Linked DNA regions of Canis lupus familiaris. The protein of the gene in region 1 purifies or fractionates together with the protein of each later gene. This does not show direct contact. Links are inferred from orthologs where the notes say so. Each region holds a gene or a part of one and is shown on either strand. Other genes may lie near its edges.

The links. The genes of interacting proteins can lie anywhere in the genome.
Region 2: the proteins of DCAF10 (region 1) and CUL4A purify together in Homo sapiens (affinity purification with mass spectrometry; 4 studies listed by BioGRID and IntAct, with this or other methods). This does not show direct contact. The link is inferred for Canis lupus familiaris from reciprocal best matches to the Homo sapiens genes DCAF10 and CUL4A.

Annotation. Positions count from the first base shown.
Region 1 is NC_049232.1:54,446,717-54,450,925, forward strand, and holds part of DCAF10 (DDB1- and CUL4-associated factor 10), read left to right. Parts: intron 1-3,298; coding exon 3,299-3,412; intron 3,413-4,209. UniProt on the Homo sapiens protein: May function as a substrate receptor for CUL4-DDB1 E3 ubiquitin-protein ligase complex.
Region 2 is NC_049243.1:60,780,024-60,784,953, reverse strand, and holds the start of CUL4A (cullin-4A), read right to left. Parts: upstream 3,088-4,930; 5' UTR 3,071-3,087; coding exon 2,917-3,070; intron 2,427-2,916; coding exon 2,311-2,426; intron 1,655-2,310; exon of another isoform or gene 1-1,654. Other genes in the region: PCID2 (PCI domain-containing protein 2), read left to right, coding at 3,606-3,641. UniProt on the Homo sapiens protein: Core component of multiple cullin-RING-based E3 ubiquitin-protein ligase complexes which mediate the ubiquitination of target proteins. As a scaffold protein may contribute to catalysis through positioning of the substrate and the ubiquitin-conjugating enzyme.

The DNA.
Region 1 (4,209 bases):
GGAGCCTGCTTCTCCCTCTGCCTGTGTCTCTGCTTCTCTCTCTCTCTCTCTGTCTCTCATTAATAAATAAATAAAATCTTAAAAAAAAAAAGATTATCATAGAATTAGAGTTTCTCAACACAATGTAATCATTAGAAATGAATAACAAAAAAGATAACCAGAAAAACCTCATGTGTTTTCAAGTTAAGAAAACATTTATAAATAACATATGGGCCAAATAAATGATAATGGAAATTAGAAATATTTAGCACTAAGTGATAATGAAAGTACCATATGTCTAAAAACTTGTAAGTAGGGATCCCTGGGTGGCGCCTCGGTTTGGCGCCTGCCTTTGGCCCAGGGCGCGATCCTGGAGACCCGGGTTCGAATCCCACATCGGGCTCTCGGTGCATGGAGCCTGCTTCTCCCTCTGCCTATGTCTCTGCCTCTCTCTCTGTGTGACTATCATAAATAAATAAAAATTAAAAAAAAACTTGTAAGTAAAACTGTACTTAGTAGGAAAATTACAATCATTAATAAACTGGAAAGGAAGACAAGGAAAATTAATGAGCTAAGTATCCATCTGAAATAGGGAATAGTGAAGTTATCTGCAAATAATAGCAAAGTAAGTTTGAAGAAAGCAGAAGGAAGGAAATATAGTAACAGTAGAATTTCAATACAAATACTCAACAGAGAAAATCTTGTCTTTGAAAAGACAAATAAAAATGAAAAACACTCATATTGATGAAGTGAATCCCCTGGGCATCAGAGTGACTCTTGATTTCGGCTCAGGTCACAAACTCGGGTGTGTGAATGGAGCCACACCTCAGGCTCTTGGTGCTGAATCTGCTTGTCCCTCTTCCTGCTCTCACAGGCACTCTCTCAAAATCTTAAAAAAAAAAAAAAAAAAAAAAAAATCCCCAGGGACACCTGGGTGGCTCAGCAGTTGAGTGGCTGCCTTTGGCTCAGGGCATCGTGATCCTGGAGTTCTGGGATTGAGTCCTACATCAGGTTCCTTGCATGGAGTCTGCTTCTCCCTCTGCCTGTGTCTGCCTCTCTCTTTGTCTCTCATGAATAAATAAATGAAATCCTTAAAAAAAATCCCCAAGTAAATCATATTCAGAGTAAAAGGGGACATAATTTCAGATGCAAGAGATAGAGATTGTAGCTTTCCAGAAATAGAGTAGGTGGTTTGGACCAACCTTTCAACAGAGAATAATTAGAAAAGCTAGAAGAAATATAAAATATTTAATGTAAGGTATAAAAAGATTATGTTTGAAGAGATTGGAAAATTAAGGCAATAGGTAAATTTCAGGACCAAGATCTACAAAAGGAGGGAAGCCAGAAATTGAGCCCACCATTTTAGCCAACTGAATTAAGCAGTATGGTAGAAATGAAAAGTATAGAAAATAAAATAATGTAAATCACTACACTAACATATTGAAGGAAAAATCTAGGGTAATTTCAATAAATGTTGGAAACCATTTTATACAACTGAAAATATATTAATGGAAAAACAGCAAATTTGAGTAGAACTTCCTTAATCCAATAATAGGAATCTACTCCCAAAAAAGAAAAGAAACTCTACAGCAAACATTGTACTTTAATGATGAAACGGTGAATGTATTCTTAAAAAAACAGGAATGAGAGGAGTGCCTATTACATTCACATTTGCATTTAACATTGTACTGAAAGTCTTAGCCAGTGCAGCAATGAAATAAGTATTAAACAAGAACAGAGCATTTGTTTATAGATGTATGATTATCAACAAAACCTAAAGTATAAAACTTACAGATAAAGTATTAAAATAGCAAGATTGATGGATAAATAATTTTAAAAATCCATTGCATTTCCGTACACCAATAACAAACAAAATTTTAAAAGAACATTTACTAGGGACGCCTGGGTGTCCCAGTCGGTTGAGCGTCTGCCTTCGGCTCAGGGTGTGATCCTGGGATCCAGGATCAAGTCCCACATCGGGCTCCTTGCAGGGAGCCTGCTTCTCCCTCTGCCTATGTCTCTGCCTGTCTCATTAATATATAAATAAAATCTTAAAAAAAAAGGAAAGGTCTGAAATGAGACAGTACTAAATATCATAAAGGAAAAATTAAGTTTGACTATATCTAACTGGTTTGGTAGGATATATGCCAAACCTTTTGCAGTACATTTTAATAGATATTGATACAGAAATATATAATTTTGCTATATATGACTTTTTTTTTCTAAGTTGCCTCATCTATGCATGTTTTTTCTACAACCAGCTCTTTTATTTAAAAATGTTTTGGGGGCAGCCTGGGTGGCTCAGCGGTTTAGCGCCGCCTTCGGCCCCAGGCCTGATCCTGGAGACCTGGGATCAAGTCCTGCATGGGGCTCCCTGCATGAAGCCTGCTTCTCCCTCTGCCTGTGTCTCTGCCTCTCTCTCTCTCTCTCTCATGAATAAATAAATAAATATTTTTAAAAAATGATTTGGAAGCACCAGGGTAGGTCGGTGGGTTAGGTGTCTAATTCTTGATTTCTGCTCAGGGGCATGAGATTGAGCCCTGCATTGGGATTCTCTCTCTCCGTCTTCCTCCGCTTCTCCCCAACTTCACTCCTTAGCTCTCTCTCAGGAGTATGCTCTCTCTCTTTCAAAAAATATATATGTTTTGGAGTTCTTTCATATCCATATGAAACTATCCCTTTCCTTTTAAATGTTGCACCATAGGGGCACTTCAGTGGCTCAGTAATTGAGTAGTCTGCCTCCGGGTCAGGTCATGTCCCCAGTGTCCTGGGATCGAGTCCCATATCGCCGGGACCCTGCTTCTCCCTCTATGTGTCTGTCATTCTCTCTGTGTCTCTCATGAATAAATAGATCTTTTAAAAAATAAAATAAAAATAAATGTTGCATCATATTGCAAAGTATTACATATCATGGCTATATAATCAATCATTCCTCCTTTCATGTACATTTAGGTTACTTTCAGTTCCTCATTATGGTGAAATATATCTTTATATATGCTTCTTTGTATTTATAAATGATTATTTCTTTAGATTAAGTTCCCATAAAAAATTGCTCAGTCAAAAAGTACACACATTAAAAAAAGTTTGATACATCAGGTACTCTCCAAACCTAAGCTGTACCAGTTTATGCTCCACTATAATGTTTGAGAGTACCATTTCCTACTATTGCCAAGAGCAGATAGTTTCAGTTTTTGAGATATTTGCTTCTAACATGAGCAAAAAGAAGTTATTTATTATAGTTTGTGTAATTATAAATAAGTGAATATCAGTAATAAGAGAGTGCTAGAAAACTAAAGAAAAATGTGTCCTTTGCTTTCAGGTCAGTGCTGACTGTTGCTTGTGAACAGACTGAAGTTCTGCTTTTTGACCCTATATCTTCAAAGCACATAAAAACACTTTCTGAAGCTCATGAAGACTGTGTAAATAATATCAGGTTAGTGTTATAGTGAAATTTACAGTGTGACACAAAATATTCTATTTTGAAAGTTAATGAAACTTTGTAATGTTTTGCCCAGCAGTGCTAGATATACATTTGTGAATTGTGAATTTTATCCCTTGTGAAATATATCCCTTTAATTACAAAACTTACTGTTAACCATTTTGGATTAGAATCTTTCTGACATGCATTTTTACTCCCATATGATTTTACCTTTTCTCTTCATATGTCAGGGTCATCATTATGAACCTCAACCATGTACTATGACAATCCTGCAATGTCTTTGGGCTAGTGATCTGTATAGAATTATGACAGTCCCATCACTAGGCTTCTCTCACCCCTAACCCCAAATCCAAACTTTTGAGAGGAAAAAACACATATGCACAGAGAACTTCTTTCTAAAAGCATGTTGGAAACTCCTTAAATTCTCAATAATCTGGGAAGTAAATAACAATTGAACAGCTTGGTGGATTAATATGCAGTCATTAAAATGATGGTCACAGGGACTACATAACAACATGGACAAATGCTTGGGACAATATAGGTTAAAATCATGATAAAAATCGTTAAAAATATGACATGAAGCAGAAGATAAGGAAGTATTTTTCAGTGCTAACATGGGATGGTTTAGAATGAATGGATAATGAATAATTTTCTGTTTTCTAAACTATGTAATAAGATTATATTCCTTTTATAATGATTACTTATAATGTTCAAAAAAAAGAAATGTGGAAATTACTTCTAGTCACGGTGACACCCTGAATTTTGATGTACCTCTATGCTCCAAACACATA
Region 2 (4,930 bases), on another chromosome or scaffold:
ACTGGGAATTCTCTCAAACGTTTAAGGAAAAAAGAACACCAGTTCCATACAAACCCTTATAAGAAAGGAAAAAGAGGAAACATTTGCAACTCTGAGACAAATACACTACAAGAAAACAAGACAGCACTATTCTACGATCACAAATGCAAAAACTCATGAAATGTTAGCAAACTGAAACCAACAGTACATCAAAAATTCATACACCACTAGGCAAGTCAGATTTATCCAAGGACTGCTGGATGGTCTTACCAACTGAGACGTCAAACAATGCAAAGAACTAAAATAACAAAAGTCATATGATCATCTTAACAGTCATAAAAGAAGTCATCAAAATCCAACAGGTACTTCTGGTAATTTCTCAGCAAACTAGGAATGGAAAGGAGCTTCCTCAACCTGACAAATGGGTATTTTTAGAAAACAAAACAAAACAAAACACCACCAAAAAAATGCCCAACACTCAACATCATATTCAATGATGAAGGACCGAAGGCTTTTCCCACTAGGAGCAGGAGCTAAACAAGAGAGTGTGGGTTTACCACTTCTACTCACCACTGTTCTGGAGGTTCTGAGCAGTGCAGGGACACAAGACAGGAAATAAAAGGCATGCAGACTAGAAAGAAGTGAAACCACCTCTATTCATAGGTGATGTGATTGCTTAGGTAGAAAATCCCATGGAATCTACAAAAAGCTACTAGAAGCGAGGTCAGCAAGAGAGCAGGGTACTAGAGTGATACACAAAAAACAATTTCTATTTCTATATACTAGCAAGAACCAGAAATTAAAACTTATACCATACTACTGCTTGTAATACCACCAAACGTACGAAACGCTTAAGAGTATTTCATAGAAGATGTACAAGACCTACACACCAGAACCAGAAATCCTTACTGAGAAATCAAGGAAAAGCAAACAAAGCTGTGCCGTGTCATCAGTTGGCACGCCTGGTACCATCAAGACATCAACGTTCCCCACATTAATCTAGAATTTGACACAATCCTAATCAAAATGCTAGTAGGCTTTATTTTTTAGAAATTGGCAAACATCATAAAATTCATACGGAAATACAAAAGAACAGTACATGTGTACTCAAGTGAATAAAATTCCTTAAAAAATCGGATAATACCAAGTGTTAGCAAGAACATAGAAAAACGGAGCTCTCACGTACTGCTGCCCAGATACAAGATGGTATAGCCATTTTGAAAACAGAAAATGTCCTAAAGTCAAATGTACACTTGCCTTATGACTCTGAGACTACTTCTAGATATTTACCCATGTCCACATGAGACTTATTCCTTCAGGTTCAGAACAGCTTTATTCCTACCAACTGCAAACTGTCAGTTATCCTGGTGAAAGGCTGTAGCTGTACTCCCCAGCAACAAAGAAACAAACTACTGGAACTGGGTGCAGACAACTGCCCCACACAGGTTCCACCGATGAGACTTAAACTGGTCCAACAGACCAACAGCAAGGAAGTCAGTGATCCGCCAGGACCAGGTCAGGAGAACGAACTCTTTGAAGTGATGTAAATATTCTAGGGATCCCTGGGTGGCGCAGCGGTTTGGCGCCTGCCTTTGGCCCAGGGCGCGATCCTGGAGACCCGGGATCGAATCCCACATCGGGCTCCCGGTGCATGGAGCCTGCTTCTCCCTCTGCCTGTGTCTCTGCCTCTCTCTCTCTCTCTGTGTGACTATCCTAAATAAATAAAAATTTTTAAAAATGTTTTAAAAAAAATTCTGTATGTTACCATGATAACAGCATTTACACCTCAATATAAGTCACTAAAGTACAGGTTCTATGCAAATTATGCCTCAAAAAGTCGATCAAAAAATATAAACTCATACAAAGTTATTACAAAGAAGGGATGGATGTCCACCAAAATGCCAATAGCGGTCTTCCTTGAGTGGCGGGAGTACAGGTGGTTTTAATTTATTTTTGTCCTTTTTTGTGATGTCCATAGTTCTTACAACAAACAGTTATGCAAACAGAAAGTTTTAATTCCAATGTCTTCATAGAAACGGAGGTATCTATCACACGGTCATGCAAAATGTAGGTGGTAGGTAACGCACTAATCAACGAATGCTATTCTCTGAAAACCAGTTATCAGGAAAACCGGTCTGCTGATCAACGGAATACGTAAAGTAATGCTCCTTTTCCACAATTACGTTGGAAACGGAACATCTTCGGACGTAACAAAATCCGTTTCCGCGTCTTAACCGCAACGATCGGAAAATAAAGAGGAGGAGGGCCGCGTGGCCGTGCGGCAGCGACGGGGGGGAAGAGCGCCCGCGCGGGGTCCGCCTCGGCCCTCACCTGGTACAGCTCCTCCAGGTTGTACCTGATGGACGTGCTGCTCTGGATGGCTCGCACCGCCTCGTGGAGCTTCTGCCAGGTGTCCTGAGTGTAGTTGTCCGGCAGCCGCGGTCTGTCTGCGGGGCGGGGGCGGGGTGAGGGTCGGCGCCCCCGTCGCGCCCACGATCACGCTCACGGGCCCGCAGCCCCCCCGCTTCCCTTCCCGGAATGACCCAGTCCTGGGGGCCCCGGGCGCGGACCGGCCGCTGCGGGCCCCCGCTGCGTGGACGCCGGAGCCGGGACACAGCCGGGGCGCTTCCGGGGACCGGACACCCCTTCGCCGCCGCCCGCCAGGCGCCAGGCCCCAGGCCCCGGGACCCGCACTTCCGGCGGCCGGGGGCGCCCCCCCCCCCCGGGATTCCCTCTCCGTAGGACCGGCACTTCCGGCGGCCGGGAGCCCCCCCCGTCCCTCCCCCCCCCACCGGGAGCGGCACTTCCGGCGGCCGGAGGCGCCCCCTCCCCCCACCCCTGCGCCCCCCCGGGACCCCCTCTCCCCGGGACGGGCACTTCCGGCGGCCGGGGGCGCCCACCCCGCCCCGCCCCGCCGCCCCGCCGCCCCGCACCCACCTCGGAAATTCTTGATGACGAGCTTCTTGGAGCCGCCGGCGCCGCCCGGCTTGGAGGCCACGGCGGCCGCGGCCAGGGACGCGGGCTTGGTGAGGCCGTTGGTGTGCCCGACCAGCGCCGACAGGGCGCCCTTCCTGGGGGTCTCGTCGGCCATGGCGGCGGCCGGGAAGCAGCGGGCGCCCCGCCCCGTCCCGCCTCCCCGGCCGCGCGGGCGGGCGGGCCTCGCGTCAGCGCCGCCCCGGCCGCCCAACCGCCGCCCCGCCGGCCCGGCGCGACCCCGACCCCGACCCCGGCCCCGGCCCCGGCCCCCGCCCCGGCCCGCCCCCGCCCCCGCCCCGGGCCGCCCGGCGGCCGCCGCGCTCCTTGTGGAACGTATAACGGTCGAGGGGGGCGGCGGGGCCCAGCTTGCCCCGGGCGGGAGCCCAGGCACCCAGAGGGCGCGGACCGGGCGTCCTCGCCGGGAGGCGGTGGCGGATCGAAGCGCAGGCCGCGGCCTTCCTCAGCCCGGGCGCGCCGCCATCCCGGCCCGGGGCGCACGCTGCCGCGGACTCTCTTCCTCCGGAACCCGCGTGCGGGGGAGGCGGGCCTGGGGGGCGCGCAGGTCCGGACGGACCGGCGGCCGGAAGTGAGGCGGACGCAGCCGCGCGCGCAGGCCCCGCCCACGCCCACTTTCCGCGGGGGGTCCGGCCATGGCGCACATCACCATCAACCAGTACCTGCAGCAGGTGGGTACGCGGGGCCGGGGCGCGGGTGTGGGCCGGCGGGAGTCGATGCGAGAAGCTCCACCGGCGTCCGCTCGGGGGTGTGGCCGGGGGGGCGGTCCTCGGGGGCACCGTGAGGGCTTAGGGGCTCCTGTCGCCGCCGCCGCAGCCGCCGCCGCCGCCGCCCCCGCCCCGCCGCGGGCCTCGGGCCTCTCCTCTGACGGTGCCCGCGGGGTGGGCCTTTGAGAACCCGTTGGACTACAGGCCCTCGTTGGCGTCTTATGTGCGTCTTAAAGCCCTCGAGGGCTTGGGGAGGCGCAAGGGCGAGCCTGCCGGGCTCAGACCCGCGACCCCACGCCTCGAGTCCGGTCTCCGCCCGCCCTGCCGGGTCTGCCCCAGCTTCGGCCGCGCCCCTCGTTCCCGCGCCGGCGAGCTCTTACCGTGGTGCACGGCGGCCCCTAGTTCGCACTTTTCCTTGGAGGCGGTGCCGCGGCCGTCCAGGGGCAGCCGTTCCGACCCGAGCTTCTGGCCCCAGACGCCGAGCCTTTCCACGCAGCACTCCGGCCGGCAGCCTCGCCGCAGCCAGCCAGCGCTTTCGGTCCCAGGCAGACCCCCCCCAGATCTCGGGGTCGGAAGTGTCTCTTGAATCTTACTGACCCTGTGGGTTTGCACACGAGTCTGCTCCCTGTTTCGTACCTAACACATCCTGGGTCGGCAGCTGCCTGCGCACAGGTAGGTCTTTGTTGCCCCGGTCCCCGGGATTACTTCCCAGCAGCTCTCAGGTCAGGGCTTGCTTTGCTTTCACTCTCCCCGAAGCTTGCAGGTTCTCTTGTTGGTTCCTTGGATGCTCCTGGAACACACGCATTCCTGGCCAGAGACCAAGGGCTGGAGCTCAGCACAGCGGTGGTGTGGGGTCAGCCTGTCAGTGCCTGTGGGCCCGGAAGGGTGCCTGCACCTGCGTCAAAGAAGGCATCCACCCCTTGTGTGGCAGGTGACGAGCAAGCCTGCGTTTCGCTCAAGGGATGGGGGAGACATTGCTTCGCTGCTCAAAGGGACTAGCCACATCAACAGCCCTGAACAGCGGCCCAAGGGAAGAGCTAGTTGTCAGGGCCTTGTCTTCCCAGCGCTCACTTCCAGTTTGAGCAGCCCAGGGAGGGCTGTCCGTGCAGTGGTCGGCAGTCACTAGGCTGTCCCTGCCTCCCGTGAGGCCCTTTTTATTCAGTGCTTGGTGCTTCCACACGCCTCCAGTTTCTGTTTGGAGAGGACAGGTGGAGTTAATTTACTGTAACATTTTTTCTAATATTCTACTTTTA